4 linked regions of the Arabidopsis thaliana genome follow. The protein of the gene in region 4 interacts with the protein of the main gene of each other region in a pairwise test. Each region holds a gene or a part of one and is shown on either strand. Other genes may lie near its edges.

What was found.
Region 1: the proteins of WRKY60 (region 4) and AT3G27420 interact in a two-hybrid assay, tested with the Arabidopsis thaliana proteins (one large-scale study listed by BioGRID).
Region 2: the proteins of WRKY60 (region 4) and AT4G22720 interact in a two-hybrid assay, tested with the Arabidopsis thaliana proteins (one large-scale study listed by BioGRID).
Region 3: the proteins of WRKY60 (region 4) and RVE1 interact in a two-hybrid assay, tested with the Arabidopsis thaliana proteins (one large-scale study listed by BioGRID).

What each region holds. Positions count from the first base shown.
Region 1 is NC_003074.8:10,146,962-10,151,100, reverse strand, and holds AT3G27420 (bromodomain testis-specific protein), read right to left. Parts: upstream 2,547-4,139; 5' UTR 2,424-2,546; intron 2,167-2,423; 5' UTR 2,153-2,166; coding exon 1,898-2,152; intron 1,828-1,897; coding exon 1,723-1,827; intron 1,637-1,722; coding exon 1,550-1,636; intron 1,465-1,549; coding exon 1,406-1,464; intron 1,283-1,405; coding exon 1,129-1,282; intron 1,037-1,128; coding exon 962-1,036; 3' UTR 681-961; downstream 1-680. Other genes in the region: AT3G27425 (ECA1-like gametogenesis related family protein), read right to left, coding at 1-43; AT3G27415 (uncharacterized protein), read right to left, coding at 3,199-3,726; AT3G27416 (uncharacterized protein), read left to right, coding at 3,209-3,730.
Region 2 is NC_003075.7:11,935,049-11,939,682, reverse strand, and holds AT4G22720 (Actin-like ATPase superfamily protein), read right to left. Parts: upstream 2,742-4,634; 5' UTR 2,540-2,741; intron 2,243-2,539; 5' UTR 2,217-2,242; coding exon 1,659-2,216; intron 1,574-1,658; coding exon 1,418-1,573; intron 1,314-1,417; coding exon 966-1,313; 3' UTR 714-965; downstream 1-713. Other genes in the region: CYP706A2 (cytochrome P450, family 706, subfamily A, polypeptide 2), read right to left, coding at 3,065-4,634.
Region 3 is NC_003076.8:5,689,726-5,694,738, forward strand, and holds RVE1 (Homeodomain-like superfamily protein), read right to left. Parts: upstream 3,268-5,013; 5' UTR 3,200-3,267; coding exon of another isoform or gene 2,975-3,199; 5' UTR 2,711-2,974; coding exon 2,678-2,710; intron 2,266-2,677; coding exon 2,167-2,265; intron 2,086-2,166; coding exon 1,974-2,085; exon of another isoform or gene 1,907-1,973; coding exon of another isoform or gene 1,888-1,906; coding exon 1,826-1,887; intron 1,664-1,825; coding exon 1,349-1,663; intron 1,253-1,348; coding exon 710-1,252; 3' UTR 501-709; downstream 1-500. Other genes in the region: autophagy protein Apg5 family, read right to left, coding at 1-96; AT5G17305 (uncharacterized protein), read left to right, coding at 2,975-3,199. UniProt on the Arabidopsis thaliana protein: Morning-phased transcription factor integrating the circadian clock and auxin pathways. Binds to the evening element (EE) of promoters. Does not act within the central clock, but regulates free auxin levels in a time-of-day specific manner.
Region 4 is NC_003071.7:10,627,727-10,631,947, reverse strand, and holds WRKY60 (WRKY DNA-binding protein 60), read right to left. Parts: upstream 2,287-4,221; 5' UTR 2,137-2,286; coding exon 2,080-2,136; exon of another isoform or gene 1,986-2,079; coding exon 1,923-1,985; exon of another isoform or gene 1,719-1,922; coding exon 1,410-1,718; intron 1,327-1,409; coding exon 1,210-1,326; intron 1,123-1,209; coding exon 853-1,122; 3' UTR 535-852; downstream 1-534. Other genes in the region: AT2G25010 (Aminotransferase-like, plant mobile domain family protein), read right to left, coding at 1-97, 174-257; AT2G24990 (Serine/threonine-protein kinase Rio1), read right to left, coding at 3,649-4,032, 4,124-4,195. UniProt on the Arabidopsis thaliana protein: Transcription factor. Interacts specifically with the W box (5'-(T)TGAC[CT]-3'), a frequently occurring elicitor-responsive cis-acting element.

The sequences.
Region 1 (4,139 bases), on a different chromosome or scaffold from region 4:
GGACTAACAAGAAAAACATCACTTTGGTTTGTTTTAGTTTCATTTTTGAGAAGATCGAAAAAGCAAATTTTTGTTGTGGGTTGGTATTGTATGTAGTTGAGATCTTTTTTCGGGGATCTGTTAGATGCTATGTAGGAAATTATATATATAGAAAACCTATAAGAATAGTTTGGAAAGGAGATTCACATTCTCAATTTATACTAATATATTAATAAAATAGTCAAGTCAACCAAAGAATATTGGTTTTAGAACAAAATTACCAAAAGTTTAACATATATCAATCTTAATTCTTAAATATAACTTTTTTGTTGATAATCAAATTATTATATTAATATCAAGCAGCTAGTTCAAACTTCCCCCATTAGTAAAGCTCTAGAAATATTTCATAGCTTTTTATTGACTGTCATAAAATAATTATTCAGATTTTATTTCCAAATAAAATAAAATAAAAATATCTTTTTTTTTCATGTTACGATTTTTTTTTTCGTTTTACTTTGAAATCAAAATTTGTTTTTGTTTGATTTATTTAAAAGTCTTGAATACCGTTTTAATGATTTTTTGTGCTTAGGTAAAACATCTTATAGGACGAGAAATATTTTCCCTATCTTAGTTTCTAACCGAAACTGATACAATGACAGACGATTAAAACAAAAATAATGAAATTGATACACACTATCTAAAGAGATTAATCGTCTAACAGACACATTAGCAAACTATGTGTTTTCTTTGGATTCATGTCATGATGTGGTCAATGATTTTTTGTTAGAGAAATCTTCATGGGACGAAGGACAAAGTCTTACCAAATCAGAACCGATTTTCATTTGTTAACCGTCCATGTAAGACCAACTACTACACGGCTTAACCGGACTAATCAGGAAAACAAAAAAAGTAGGAAATATATTAAACCGGTTTAGCCCATCACACCATCTCAACATCCCAGTCCATATATATACAGCCAAAGTTAGCTAGGGAGCGAGCTTCTGGGCCTCTTGACTGCTCCTACATAGAAATGCAATCTCCATAACATGACCTTGTCCTGAAGAAAACACAGTTTGGTTGAAATGCTGTTAGTTTTCCATTAATACTCATCGGAACCAGAGAATCAATTAACTACGGATTGTGTCTTACCGCCTGATCAAGGTTGACGATAACCTTATCGTTGAAATCTCTGCCAGATGCTATGCAATGATTTCCTACTATTTCAGCGACGCGGTTGAGATTCCTCTCAGGCAGCTCCTTGATCGATTTCTGAAGCTCCCGAATTTCACCACGAGTCATAGGTCTGTTTTAAAAGAGTTAACAACTAACACATAAGTAACCACCAACAAAGAATGTTCTCATAAGGAAAACTCTTTAACTGATTATATAATGGCACAAACTAGAGATCAATTAGACCACACTATACCTGCAAGTCGCCACCACATCGTCAAGAAGTCTCTCGAGTTCCTGCTGCATATTGTCCAGCTTTCAAAACAAAACATATGCAGAAGTTAGCTATATTAGATGATTGATCTTTCTGCAAGCTAGATATACTAATGTGGAACATTACTTTGGACAGCAGAACATTTGAATACTGTGACGTTATGTTCTTGACCATATCAGAGTCAGACCTCAGAAGTAGTTGAATATCATCTTCCTGAAGGAATTTTGAGAAAACAAAATGAAAGATATACAAGTATGTTTCAAGCAAGAGGATTAAGAACATATAAGTAAAAGACGAACTCTCGCTCCTCCGGTTTCTTCAGGAACAAAATCGCTCGGCGACGATGACTGACATTTGTTCCCTAGCTGAGAAATTAGATACAGAGAGCGTACACATTCCTGCATCTGCAAACGAATTGCAATAATATTGAGTACTCTTTCATCATACGATATTAGAAGTAGAACTCTGAAGTACCTCATCAACTTCTGGACTTAGATTCCTCACACACTGCCTTAACAAAACATTCAAATTATCTTTCTCAACATTTGACATCCCAGCTCCTATAACACTCTCAGAATGCCTCTCATTGGCTTCTTGTTGATCATGATGTGAGATCCTCTCACCTAGAGACAAAAGCTCAGCTACTTGAGATCTGTAACTACCAAAAGTATCTCCTCTGCTTCTTTGGATTTCAGATGATGGACACGCTTCTGCTGTTCTTTTAGGCATAGCTTCAATAAACACTGCAATGTACGCAACAACGCCTTAATCGATAAAAGCAGACAATTTCACGAGATAGAGTACTATACAAACTAGGATTATGAATTTGAGAGTGTGAAATCGAATTGCATATCAAAATAGAGAAAAATAGCGAAGAACCAATCAAGTATCGGTTTCTCTACAGTGATACGACGATCGGGGAAAAGCAAATTCCGTTTATATCCCGAAATAATGAACAATTCAAGGAAGTTCAAAAAAACTATGTAGCCGCGAAACTCACCGAGTAAACTGTCTCGCCGGAGATTAATGTCGCTGGGAACTGCCGCCGATTTGAATCGACGGATAGAAGCCGAAAAGGGTTAAAAAGTGATAACGACAAAAAAGTAGACTGCTTGCCGTTTTTATGTTAGCCATTATGGAACACGTGCGTCGTGGATTACAAAGCTTATGAGTATTATCATGGGCCTTACATTTTAAATGGGCCTTATTTATTTTGGGCTCAGTTTACTTTCTCATCTCTAATTAGACTCATTCACAAGATTGCAGTAGATTTATTTATTTTTAGTTTACGAAATGTAAATGTTTCGTTGACTTTTAAATGTGCTTCTTCAGTTACGTGTATGAATTTGTATTGAACAATTGAACTTCCACTTAATATTGAGTTATTGACTAACTGGTACGTTAATCAAGTTTTAATTCTTAGTATTTTGTATAGCTTAAATTAAAATTAACTTTTGTTGAAACAGTGCTCATTTAGTTACCACAAAATCAATCTCAATAGTCACGTGTTCTCAATTGTTTCTTGAAAGTTGGGAATTATCATTACCACATGTTCTCTTTTTACTAACAAAAGATCAAACCAATAAAATTTTAAGACAAGTTCCGATGGACCCGGTCAACCAAAACTTTGGTCAAATCTGTAGAATTCCCTATAAATTAAATTTTACCTCTTCCTTAATCTCTCAAAAATAACTCTTTTCTTCTTTTTAATCTTTTTTAGCACTAATCATAAACCACAAAAATACATAATTAATCACCACAAAAGCAATTCACATTCACCACAAAATGACAATGACACTTAAACTCCTATCTCTCGCCGTGGCTGCCTTGGCCATCACCGCCGTCTTGGCCGCCGATCCTCCAACACCGGCAAACGCACCGAAAGCCAACGGCGAAAAGAACTCTACCTCTCCTTCTCCCGCCGCCGCAGCATCCCCAAAATCACCCACGGCCTCCGCCCCAACCTCACCGCCTACAGCTGCTCCAACCATGGCCAAGAAAAATTCCACCGGAACTCCAAGCCCTTCCCCATCTTCCCCATCTCCAAAGTCATCATCAGCCAAAACTCCGGCTTCAAGCCCTGACTCAAGCTCCGGTGATTCTTCCGAAGGTCCTACCAGCTCCTCTGACGCACCTACCGCCTCCTCTCCGCCAGCTCCGACTCCAGAAATGTCTCCATCTTCCGATGACGGAACTGGCGCCAGTGACGGCCCTGAAGCTTCGGCTCCTGCGGCAGGAGCCTCATCGCTTGTGATCTCTGTCTCGGGCTCTGTTCTCGCAGCCGTTGCATGGCTTTTCTTCATATGATTGAATATTACTAGTATTTTCTTGGAGATTTCATACTACATTTAAGATTATATTATACGTTTCATATTTCAATTTTTGGGTTTATTTTAAAACAGTTTGTTCTCCGGCCCGATTTTTCACACGTTAAATTCGTGCATAGTACGGAGGTTAGGATATTTGATGTTGTTACAAATGTTTAGTTTGTGTTATTTATGTTTATGTAATCTTTAGTCATTATAACAATAACCATGAGATTCTCATTGTTCGAAGGGTCTATTTGTAATTTAATCACATTCATTTTCTAATGATCCTTGCATGGCTAGTATCTATATGTATATAGCATCTCCTTAAGGACAACAATGGGGAGCAACACATATATTAGGTATAGCGTTACAAATTATAGTCTAAATCAACAACAACAAGAAGAGAA
Region 2 (4,634 bases), on a different chromosome or scaffold from region 4:
TATCTTCAATCATTCGTCTTTTATTTTTTGGCATTTCAAGATGGAAGGAAGACTTTTGAAATACTTTTATCTTTTCGTTAACTACTTTGACCTTTTACTTGATTGTTTTACTAATAACTTTTGTCATTTTCTCCTTTTTCCCACGTCTTTTTGAATCTATATGATGTCTTTTAAAACTTTTGAAAATTTTATATTTAGTATGCATGCTTACTTACATAGTTACATGTATGAATGTTTTATCTAGAACTCTAGTCTCTAGAAGGATATCCACATTATGCTACAAAAGTAATATAAATATCGACCAAAATTTGTGTAGCCTATGTGTCAAGGTTCTGATTTACACTTGAAAATACGCAAATGAGTTCTAGATGATGGAAAAATGATACACTATATCTCGAATGTTTTTACAAAATTATTAGATAGAATTTATCTCTACGTCAAATTGAAATTTTTGACAACTTGTTGTTGCCTTTACAATTTTTATTAGCAAGATCAAGATTAGATCATTATGTATAAATTCTATTTACTCACTTTTCGTTTAATACGCAATGCCATAGAAGTGTCTTGTGATTAATTGAACCATCTCATACGTTCTACATTAAAAAGTTCTTACTTTTTACTTTTTAGTAGTGCTGTATTTTCACAGTTGTTTTTGTATGATTAAGGAAGACTAATGCACTAATCTCTCCACCATTCTCGGTAGAAATGTCGACTTTGAGATATCATATTTTTATTAAAGCAATAAAACAAATAGCGAAATGCAACACAAGAAACATTTGAACTTTTTACAAAGCTCACTTTGAAATTTGAAAGTGTTATTACATTCAAACCAAAAGATATCAATCATATAATTTGGCTAATAAAACACATTTAAAAGTCTTAACTACTTAGCAAAAACCAATTTATCGAGTAGAGAGAGATTCAATCTCAAATTTGATGAAAAATGAACAAAAATGGGGACAGACTCAATTCGCTGCAACTTTCTTATCCCCAAGTAGTACAGCTTCTTTCTCTCGCCACACCGCATGAACCTCGTCTGTGCGAAATCGTTGTGTAAAGGTAGAGTCTTCGATCGGTGTTTCAATACCATTAACAAACGCGAGTAGACCTGTGTAAGCGATCATAGCTCCATTATCGATGCAGTAACGGTCATCTGTTGCAAACAGCTTACCATCACGTTCTGAGCACATAGTCCTCATCATTTCCTGCAAACGCTCGTTACACCCAACACCGCCAACTATCAAAACGTCTTTCTTGTCACAATGCGCCATCGCTCTTTCTGTGATCTCAACCAACATCGCAAACACCGTCTCCTGCAAGATCAACAAACATGAATTCATGATATTACTCTTAAACAGTCCAAAATTTGCATTCATGTGACAAAATTCATCAGTTAAGAACCAAGTGATAGCCTTACTTGAAGGGAATAACACAAGTCTGCTGGTGTACACTCGTTATTCTTGAGCTTCTCCTCTGCAGTAGTTTCGATATAACTCAAGATTCCGCTGAACGATACATCCATACCTTTAACAGCATACGGAAGATCAATAAAGTTTTCTCCTTTCTTAGCAAGCTAGTAACAACACCAAAAACCGTGTTAACATTGTTCTTGAATCTTTCAAGAATTCAAATTTACTTTACTTTCAAATGAAATCTACCTGTTCAATGTTATAACCAGGGCTTGGATCATTAGAAAGCTTCAAGACTCTAGCAAACCGATCCAAACAATTACCAACAGCAATATCAATAGTCTCACCAAAAATCCGGTACCTACCTTCACTATAAGCAATCACCTGAGTGTTACCACCACTCACATACAACACAACAGGATCATCAGCTCCAGTAACTACTCTCCCCATCTCAATGTGAGCCACACAATGATTCACAGCAACAATTGGCTTTTTCCAAAGCTGTGACAATACTCTAACAACAATGGCTGAAACCTGCAACGGCGCTCCCATCCCGGGACCTTTCGTATAACAAATACAGTCGATTTCTTCAGGAGTAACTTGAGAAGTCTCTAAAGCTGATTTGACTAAAGGAAGAACATGGTCAAGATGGTGATGTGCAGTCTCTCTAGGAAGAAAACCATGACCAGGTGGTGTTATATACGTATGCCGAGGATTTGCTAAGATAGTACCGTCTAAAGTCACAATTCCAACTCCAATCTTGTTAGCTGATCCTTCGAAACCAATGGCTATCATCTTCTTCTTCATTTCTTTGATTTAAAAACAGAAACTTTCTACACAGAGAACAACAAATTCAGGACTAGGTGAAGTAAAAATCCAAACTTTATTCTGAATCAATTTGAACTAACACAAATTATAGCCTTAGACGTTGAAGATGATGAACAAAATTAATCCTTTCGTTGATTGGTATTGGTATTGAGAGAGACCCAACAAAGAGATTCGTATAACCTAGGTTTCGTTTCCTTAGATGAAAGAGCCCTAAACCCTAATCTAAACACAGAAACCAATTCCATTCGAGACACAACACACTGAACCCATGTACTGTTGTTTGATTTAAATCAAAAACTAACCTGAAGCTGCGTGATGGCCGGAATCAGAAGTAGCTCACAAGCTCAAAGCAAAACGAAATTAGCCAGAGAGTTTAAAGAAGAAAAAGACGGCGATAAAGTCGCCGGGAGAGAAACGACGATGTTGAGTTTCTAGACTGTGTAAACGGCGTCGTTTATAAATGGGCCTAGCCCAATAACGCATATTTTGCCGCTAAGAAGGACTCATTTAGTGTGACGTGAAGTATTTGTGATATAATTATACATTAATTAATTTAAATAATTACAATTTTAATTTGTAACCTTCATACTAATTTGTAATTTGTTGACCCAAGAATTTTAATCGACTTGCCAAAAATATAACTACAATATAGTTTTATAGCTTTGGCATCGACTATTAGGCGTTATTATTGTAAGTAAAACTTTGTTATATTAAATGTTATCAAAAATGTAACTTGACACATCTTTTATACAAAGCATCAAAACTCCAGACACAGATAAAGAAAAGTAAACTTTAAACAAGAAAACTCAATTCAACATCCTTCTTACTTAAGCTGTGTAGAGTTTTGGATCGGACAACCTTGGAACAGGAATAGCCACAAGTGGAGACTTCAACTTAAGAACAAGACCAAACTTCTCTTCAACCTCAAACTTCTGTCCTTGAGGAGCTTTCCAATCAAAAGAGTGAAGAAGTGAAGCAATGTTGAACAGAACAAGTCTCTCAGCCATGTTTATCGCCGCACAAATCCTCCTTCCTGACCCAAAAGGCAAATACTTAAAATCACCTCCATTGAAATCAAGCGAATTCTCCAAAAACCTCTCAGGTTTGAACTCGTTTGGTTCATCCCAATTCTTAGGATCTCTATGAATCGCCCAAACGTTGATGAAAATCTTGGAGTCTTTAGGCACAGTGTATCCCGCAACCACCGAGGTTTCGCTGTTTCTGTGAGGAACAAGAAGAGGAAGCGTAGGGTGAAGCCTAAGAGTCTCTTTCATAACCGCTTGTAGGTAAGGAAGCTTAGGTAAATGTGATTCCTCAACGATGTTGTCTTTGCCAACAACTTGGTCAAGTTCTAGTCGGATCTTGTTTAACACTTCCGGTCTGCTCACAATCTCTGCCATGGCGAATTCGGATGCGTTAACCGATGTGTCGACACCACCAAGAACCATATCCATGAGGAGAGACTTGACATGAGTCATGGACAGAGGAGCTTTCTCATCATCATCTTTAACTCTAAGTAAGTATTGCAAGAAATCTTCTTCTTCTTCGCTCTTCTTTCCCACCATTTTGACGTGACTCTCCATAACTCTATCGAACAAGAGATCAAGCTTCTTCACATGGCCTTTCATCTGCTTAACCAATCCTTGGAAATCGAATCTTGAGAACAACGGAAAGAAATCTGAGTAGTTTTGAATCCCTTCTATGTCGGAGATATCAGATATTAGGGTTTTGAGCTCGTTTCCTAAGCTCGTTCTCTCGTCTCCTTCAACAGTGGCGCCCCACATCATTCTTGTCACGACGTTGAAAATGGAAAGAAATATTTGCTCTCCGAGGTTGACTGGTGATCCTTCACGAGCCATTTCCGACATGTGGACAATGGTTTGTCGGGTTTCTTCCCGGCGAGTGGAGTAGGAAGCTTCGAGACTTGGGGTAGTGAACATCTTCATGACGCAGAGCTTACGAAGTCTCCTCCAATGGGTACCGTAAGGAGACCAGAGGATGTCTTCACCACCGTAAGTGTTGATCTTTCCGACTTCAGGGAGATCGTGGTTGGCGAAAGTGATGTCGTGGGTTTTGAGAACCTCGCGAGCCATGTCAGGGGAAGAGACGACGATCGCAAGTTTGGAACCGAGGTGGATCTTCATGAGAGGGCCATATTTTAGGGTTAGGGCTTGGAATTGCGTGTGGAGGACGTCAGAGTTTAGGAACGGGAGGTTTCCGACGATAGGAAGTGGCCAAGGTCCCGGAGGCAGTGGAGGTTCCTTTTTGGACTTGGACTTCCCCTGAATCCATAAGTAGCATACAACGGCCAAGAGAGCAGCGACGGCCAGCATCACGGAGCTGTACGGCTCCTCAGTGTTGAGGACCTGCGAGAGGTTGATGTTAGACTTAGACGAC
Region 3 (5,013 bases), on a different chromosome or scaffold from region 4:
AGGAGGAGCAGGGTGAGAAGCGACGTCGGATTTGTGGAGATGAATCTGCAGAGGAATTGCTCCTTCCCATACATACTTGACCGCTTCCTTCGCCATTCTCTTCCCCGTCACACCTTCTCACGCTCGCTCGCTTCACAAAAAAAACTCAGCTTTCAAAACGACGCTGTTTCTGTATGACGTCATCTTCTCTTGCGTCTTTATGTGGTATTAATAAGGCGTACGTTAGACACTGCTTAATCTGTTGGTGGCTAACGTGAAAGGGTGTTAACCGGTCTAATTTGGTCTGGTCAAATTCTATCAAAATTTCAGGTTAGAGTTGGTTTCCGAATCGGTTCGGTTATTTGTTGGGTTTGAACTTTGAACACACACTTGTTCAGTTGGTGGTAACCTCACTGTTTTTCTTCTTTGCCTTCATTTCAAAGCAAACTCTTTACCAAACCTAATTTAATCGGAGATATTGAAGAGAGACACCTGAAACTTGCTTTTGTTGAACCATCAATTAAGAAAGATCTCATAATCATTAGATTTAACTGTATAAATTGTACACGAGTTTTACAGTTACAAACTTTTGCAGAAAATTTTAGCCTAGAGAACAAACACCTCAAGAGAAAACAATGAAACAACAACAAAAATTACATTGATGAAAACTTAGAAAGTCGAATGAATAGTAAATTTAAAGTCTCTTCTTTAGGGTACGTAAGAAAATGTGTTATAAGTGGAGATGAATCTCATGCTCTTCTTCTTCTGTTACCATCTTTCTCTTCTTGTATGGACCAAATCCTCTTGAATTTGACTCGGAGTTTGTTCTTCTGAGCTCAGAAAATGCAGACCTCTCACTTGGTTTAAACTCCCATTGACATAGCATTGTTTCGGGTTCTGTGGTCTTTTCCGTGTGTCCCGTATCATCCACCGAACCAGTGTTTGATCCAGTCGATGATCCTTCGTTTTGGACAGCCTTTCCTGAATCCAAACATCTATTTTCCACATCTTCTTGCTTAAGAGGGACTTGTATCCAGCAGCTCAAGAGTTCTTCTTGTGAGTTTCTTATTATGGGTAGTGTCTTGGATGATGAGAGTTTCCGTGGTAATGGCTGAATTGGGGATTTACAATATGTTGAAGTTGTTAGAGAAGAGGACATGCCTGAATCAGATACCAAAACTGTCTTCCCAAAGAGTTTAAGACTTTGCTTCGTTGGTTCCTTGATCGAGCTCTCCCTGTTTAAGAGTCTCTCACTAGGAAACAACTCCAGCTTCTGTACAAATTGATTAAACCAAGAATATTAAGCATTAAGCATCTAACAGCAGGTATTGCTGTTAAGTATAAATTCGGTTTTGTTTATGTCAAGTACCAGAGTCTCAAGCTCTTCAGGTGCATTTGCAGTGGTTGTAAGAGCAGCTGGTGGTGATGCAGAAGAAACTGGGGACAAGCTTCGATTGGGTGAACTCGAATCAAGGGAACACAATGCTTCTGATCCAACAGTGGACAACACAGAGGTTGGAGATTGAGTATCACGTTCTGAGGGAGAAACCGATCTACTTGTTTGATCTGCCTCGTTCCCAAACTTACGAGGGTACGGATGCGCTGGCTTTCTCTTGGGACGAGGAGGAGGTATTACAATCGGCTCTACTGAGCTCCCATCACCTCCAGTTGCTTCTCGAGCAACCTGTGTGAATACAACAGAACAAAGCCAAGTCAGAACACAAGTCTCCAAACAATGTATGTATAATGATTCCTTATTTATGCAGAACTTAGGTTTGCTACAGAGATTAGACTGATACTTTCTTTGAACAAGGGTAAAGATATAATAGCAAATAAGTGTATAAACCTTAGAGAAAAACTTCTGAGCATGGCTTCGAATCTGAACTGCGGTCTTTGAGCCCACATGTTCTGTTAGTGAAACAAACATATATTTTTGAGGGTCCAGGTAAGGCCATAACTCAGTAGCAAGAGATATTACTAAATCATTAATTTACCTTCTATTCGTCTCCAAGCTCGCCCGTATAATTTCAAGGCTTCAACAAACTTCTTGTGCTCTTCATCTGTCCATCTCTCTCTCTCTTTTGTTATCGTGTATGGCTTCCGTACCTAAGTAAGAAAAGATGAACTGAGCCACAGATCTTCACTTTACATAACAATATTTGACATTTGATGTTAAAAGAAACAAACCTTGGGTGCATAGTCATTTCCCCCAAAACTTTGGTCATTGAATTGTATCTGCTTGTCTGCAGTTTCTTCATCTCTATTCCTCAAAGAAGCGTTGGTACCCTAAAGCCATCATCAAGCAAAACGACTTTAGGAAACATCATTTTAAGGACTATGACACAAAGTGGCATTGGATTATTTACTTTCTTCTTCAGTTTCTCAATGAACATTCATTCACAAAGTCCAACTAATTAAACTCGATTTACATATCCTAATCACAAAATTCCAACACAGTCGATTCCATCTCAAGGATTCAAATGAATGTAGTTGCAACACACAAATCTAGAGAGAACTTATAGCTCAAAAGAAACAAGAGTCTGCAAATGAATTGCAACGAACTTGCTTTAACTCTAAGCTTTATTACTTAAATGTCCGTATACAGTATTTTAAACTCATAGATTCATTTGAGACCAGACCTGAATAAAGCAGAAACAAAACAAAAAAAGTGGATAAAAATCAAATTTTGAGACCAGACCTGAACATTTGCAGTCAACGGAGACGACGCCATAACTTCCCGGATTAAGATCTCGGCGGAGGAAAACAAAAAAAAACTCGAAAGGTGTGGAACACAGAAAAGGAAACACCAAGATAAATTCGCGAATCTAGACTTGAAAAAATCAGCTTAATTTCCTCTGTTCTCCGTCTGTTTCTATAGATCCCATAAATTGATTCGGTTTACTTAGGCAACAACAAACGATTTGCTTCTGAAATCAGAACCAATCTAAGCTTCCACCTTCCGGAAAAAAAACTTCCAGCAAACCAGAGATTTCTTATGTTCGATAAAGGAAAAGAGAAAAAAACTCTCGCTGGAAATCTTGCCGCAAATAAGGATAAGAAGAAGGTCGGAAATGAAACTCTCAGAGAAACTCCGAGAAGTTTTGGTAGCCGGAGTAAAGAAAAAGACAAGCTTTCTGATTCGGCGGAAGAAGAAGAAAACAGAGAGAAAGAAGAAGAAGAGAAGAGTTTGGGGTCTGTGAAGGAGGAAGAAGGGAATTAGGGGGGTGAGAAAATAGGGAAGACAAAAAGGAGGGTGATGCCACGTCAGCTTCTGCTATGTGCGCTTTTTCCCAATTTTTAAAAAATAAAAATAATAATTCTTATTGGTTTTCCATGGAACGCTCGAGAAACAGATGGAAAATCTTGTGGCTCACGTTCAATGTCCATCTTTGCCACGTGTCGCTCTTTCTCATATTCTTCATCTTCTTTTTTTGCAACAAAATTTGTACTAGATTTATTCATTTATCTCTTTGAAAAATCAAATATTTAATTTTTTAAAATGAATCTACTTGTTTTAAAACAGTTAGATTTGGTACTTCGATTATCACTGTATGTATTTATTTAATTCCCCTACTTTTCCTTTCCTTTTTTGACATCATTTCAATTGGATAATCTTTTAATATAAAATATCAGGAAATATAATATTTATGTAACAAAAAAGATTTTGCTGGACGGAGAAATGTGAGCCACCAGAAGATACTTTTAAAGGAAAATATGGAAAGGCGTACTCTCGAGAGTATGACTTCTTAGCTTACTCGCTTTTCATTGGTTCCACTACATGAGATAAAAATGTAAATTTGCGGGATAAATTCATTTTCTTTTCTTAACTATATCTCTATTGATCCATATATGGGTGGACATATTCCAAAATTTATGATTGGTTCTTTGGATCCGGATCCATAGGATTTGTTTGCGGAACCATCCAAATCCATATCTATCAAAAATACTTCAAAATAATTAAAACAGTAATATATAAAACTATAATAAATAAAAAGTTAAAAATATATTTTGATTTATTTACATAAACTCTTTATGAAAATATTTATTAGGGTATTTTAAAAAGCTACATATGAAAACATATCCGAAGTGGATATCTTAATCAAAATCAAATTATTCGAATTCGAAAACTCTTAACATTTTATTTTTGGACCAGATCAGAAGATTTTATTATACACTTTGTCCAATCTTAGAAAACATAGTCTATCCATTTTTTATTTTGTGGGGTTCTACTCTTTTTTCTCCATTCTTCCATATATGAACACAATATTTGATAGTAAATTTATATATAAATTATAACCATCATAATATCTAAATTCAGATTTTAAAAAAGATTTCTGTCTAAACACATTTTTGCAGGACACTAAAATGGTTTATTTTATGAAATGAGATCCACAAAATGGGTTATTCAAATTTGGACTGATATTAAGATTTGTTGATGATGCTTCTATACTAGCAATAGCAAGCCTCATACAAATGCAATTGATAACGTATCCTACCATGATTCCGATATACATATAAAATTTGGACCTCTAAATTTTCCTATATTCTTTTTCATGTCAAACTTATATGTTTAGTTGGGAAAAATATTGCACAGAATTTTACATAGTTGAAATGGTTTTGAATCACAATCTAAATAAATGAAATTCCAAAATCAAGTGAAAGTAGAATGAGATACTATTTTTGGTTCTTTTTCGTTTTGTCGTTGTCTTTGTTTCATATTTTACGAAAAAACGAAAACCATAAGTTAAATATCTTCTGCCTCTATATAAAAACATGGTGGGGGTCTATCCATAACGTAAGTCTACGTATACATACCATATAATATAATATATACAGATACGAATCTATCTATGATATTTATAATTAGTTTCAACTTTCTCGAATTAATATGATTATCCATCGTCCAGGTCGTCATCAATTTTCACAAATGTGTAGATATTTTATTGAAATCATTGTTAAGCACATAATTTAATATACTCCTCAAATTGTAAAAGTCATCCTCGGTGGAAGTGAAAGTAATTACACTTTAATTTA
Region 4 (4,221 bases):
CGAAACCAGCTTTGTCCACGAGGTTAATTTGTTCATCAGTGAGTTTCCATTGATGTAGCAATGAAGTGTGTTCTTGACAACGAAGTAGACCTCGTTCCTAAGGTAAGTAAGGGGAAATAAGATTAACCCTAAATTCAAAATCTGAAATTTAGCAAGGGAATTAAGAAAAAAACCTGTCCTTCCCAAACAGCAGAAGAAACATGGAGGTCTTGCTCGTATAGGACAGATGGATCAACTGGTCCGACATCAATATCCATGTCGATAACTTACTCAAAATCAGCGAAAACTAAGATTACATAAACAAATTTTTGTCAAATTCTCAAAACACGAAACTTTTGATTCTTCAATTTGGGACTAAACACAGATGAAGAAGAAGAAGAAGTTGGGATTGGAAGCTAACCGTAACCTAATTTGGACTCGGTTCATAATTTTTCTTCTTGGCTTTTTATAGCTGTACCGGTTATTTTGGTTTGGTTCTCTTAAACCGACTCTGTTTTTCGTGGTTTTACTCTGTTTCCGGGTTTCTCTGTTTCTTTTATGTCTGTAATGGCATCACATTCTTCTCTAATGGAAGTTAATACAAACAACTGAACAAGATAACATTGGAAGATACATAAACTGTCGAAGCAGCGTCAATCTACCATACTTACACCGAGCTATAACAAAACTCTTTCAACATAAGATAAAATGGGGGTGACCCTTTTTGGATACTTAGATTTGATGTAATTATATACACACACATTAAAATTGACATCTATGCCTCCTAATCAAGATCAAACAAATCTTTACCTTTTTACTAGGAATGAGCAACAAAATAGAACAAAACAGAAATATACATGTTCTAGAGAACTTTCATGTTCTTGAATGCTCTATCAATCTCCCGGAAATAGCAGTCGCAAGAGCTGCAGTGAACTTAGGATCTTTGGTCAACGAAGAAGCCATTTGTTGCACCAAAACCTCTTGAATCGTCCCTCTCTCTTTCTTTTCCTCAACTGGTTCAAGCCCACCTTGAACTAGATCAAGTTTCACTGTCCTGGACACACTTGCATGTGGTCCGGTGTGGTTATGTGTCCCTTCGTAAGTGGCTACCAAGAAAGATGGATCTTCTGCACTTCGTTGCACCTAAACAAGCGCACACACAACTAGGGAATTTAATCAGACAGCAAGATGATATCGAAGAACTCTTTAACAAAGTTTAAACCAAAGTACCTTCTTCTTGACTAGACAAGACGGTGAAAACGAGCATCTGAAGTAAGCTCTAGGAGATGGATTATCTCTCGTAATCTTTTGCCCGTATTTCCTCCATTGATATCCATCTTTCACAGTCTACAAGTAACGTATATCCACAAAACATTCGTTAACAAATCAATACACTCAAAGAACGATACTTGTAGTAGAAATCTCCTTACCAAGCTTGTGTCAGACTTCTCAGCAGCAAAGTAAGCGGTTGAAACCGTCGCTTTATCGTTGGTGATGTTCTCGATTGGTCCGAGACTGAGTCCAATTGGGGAGCTAACAAACTCATCAAGTTCTTGTTTTCGTTTCCCCGTTAGCTGTTTGTTCTGAAAGTTAACACTTTCAGGACTCTTTCGACTCTGCAACTCCTCCATAAGATTATTAAGAGCATAGTACTTCTCACAGACTCTTGCTAACATTTCGGTTAGCTTCTTGTTCTCCGAATTAACCCGGTTTATTTCATCTTGTAGCATATTTCTCTTCTGTGTAAAATGAAAATCACCATTACCAAACTAAGCTGTAAGACAAAGCTTTGATTTGTTCAACTTTTGAGCATCACCGATCTAAACAAACTATTCAATGTCTAAATCAGATATGAGAACTTGATCAACCTAATCCATTCACTCATAGTCAAAAATTTTGAGGTCAAAGTATTGCACACCAAAGTGTTCGATGAAAGAACTAACCTCATCTTTCACTAACCATTTCTTCTCTACAACTTTAGAAGCTGAAGCCGAGACTTCTCTTTTCTAAATCAGGCAATAAAATATATATGAACACCACGAATAATCACCACAACCTCGAAAATTGAAGTGAAATTTTCGAAGAAATTGAAAAACTCACCGGAAGTTTACCGGAGAAATGAAGGTCGAACGGATTGGTGTTGGGATCATAGTCCATAAATTTAGGTTCACAGGAGCCAATTTAATGTAACGTGAGATTATAGCGAAGACCAAATTCATAATTGCTAAGAGATTTGGTCTCCTTTGGTTTTATAGTAACTAGTAAGTGGAGAGAGTGTAATAACTTGTCAATTATGAGAAGGTTGACGATTTGGGTGGAAAATGAGGGTCTCCTTTCTAATTCTAAAAAAATTATTATAAATCTTTTACAATTCTTGTAAATTCTCATAAACTTTCTTTAAAACCTTTAAAAGTTTTTAAAACTCTTTGTAAAATCGTTTTAAAACTTTTATTAAATCTTTTAAAAACTTTTGTAAAATTTTTATAAAATCTTTTGTAAATCATTTTAAAAACATTTATAAAATCCTTGTGTGTAATTCTAATTGTGCCAAAATTATAATGTGTATTATGCATATGATAGTGATTGAACATAGAAACAAAAATATTGGAAAAAAACAATACTAATGAAATGTGTAAACAAAAATTGCAAGAAAACTATTTAATTTAATACGTATTGACAAAAAGCAAGTTGTGTTTAATACGTTGGATTAAATTTGTTGGCTTGCATCGTAAATACTAAATGCGTGTCCTAAAAAATTAAAAAGGTTAGGTGTTAAATCGTAGTCGAATTGTTATGTTTTGTTGTAATCGGAGAAAACAAGTGTAAAGATGGATCAAAAATCAACAATTTCGGCGGATGTCCCATGTCGAAGAAAAATGAGTACTTTACATTAAGTTGCATTGTAAGATCCAGACCAACTTTCGCTTGACTTGACCCATTGACTATGCCCTGGAGGTTGGCATGTTTAATTTTGTCTCATATTTTTGTTTACTTAATCCTACCTACATTTAGTTGCATTAGTTAATTATGTCAGCTAGGCAAAATAAGATTTCGTTTCCCTTTTTTTTATGTTCATTAAGTTTGAAAGAAAATCATTATTTTTTGTTTTGTCATCTTTTTTATTAATATTATAAAATAAAAATATATTTTCCGATCTTACAAAACCGGCAGAAAACAAAGATATCTTCGAAAACATAGTTTAAAAGAGATAATCAAAGCTCCAAAAGAAAGAGAAAACACGTATTAAGATATAAACTATGGAAACAGAGGCTTAAGAAGAAAAGCTCATAAACACTAAACTGTATAAAATCAAGAACTCATTAAACAAAGAAAAAATGTTGTAAATAAACTAGTTGCAGGATTAGAATTTTCATACTATAAGCCAACAATCTCAAAACTTGAGTTGATAAATTTAGACACAACCATTATTCGAATTGTCAAGTTGGTTAGGGATGTGAGGAAAGGAACAGAAATTTGAATCCTATTCTTGAAACAGCAGCAAACCAATTTCGGGCTCTATAATAAAGTCATACTATGAATATTACAAGAACTTGCTATTTTTGGAAATATAGAGAGCTTTGGGTCCATACTCGATTTCCCAGAATTTGACACAAAATTTCAAAATATAAATAAAAATACAAGTTGGGGTGTCAAAACTTCTAACTCGGATTAACGAGTCTTGTGTGGTTTAGAGACTTTCTTCTTTCGCTTCTTGACAGATTTGGGTGTCTTCGTCTTCCTAGACTCTCGTTTCTCCTCTTTCACTTTCTTCTTGTGCTCTTTCCTTGCAGCTTTCTTGTCTTCATGACCCAATTCTTCTTCACTCTCTTCTTCCTCACTTCCTTCTTCACTTTCTCCGTCTTCTTCTTCCTCTCCTTCCTCTTCTTTCTCTTCATCATTCACCTCTATTTTCTGCTCTTCTATTTTAGGAAGAGCATCCTTAAGCCCCGTTATCGTTTGGTATAGCATGTCTCCTGTGTCCTGCCCGCTTGTTATCTTAGCCACGTCAGCCTCAGGGTTGTTCACAGCATCCAGAGATTTCGGTATGTATGACTGAACATCAATAACAAACCAGTAAGATTAAGATTATTCTACAGACAACTTCACATATCAGTTCACACAACTGGATACACTCTTAACTAACCTTCATGAATACTGAATCCGCGATTTCATCCTCTACGGATATCTCTCCTCGCTCTATAACTTTTCGTTGGACCTGCCCATTGTTACATAATTCATTAA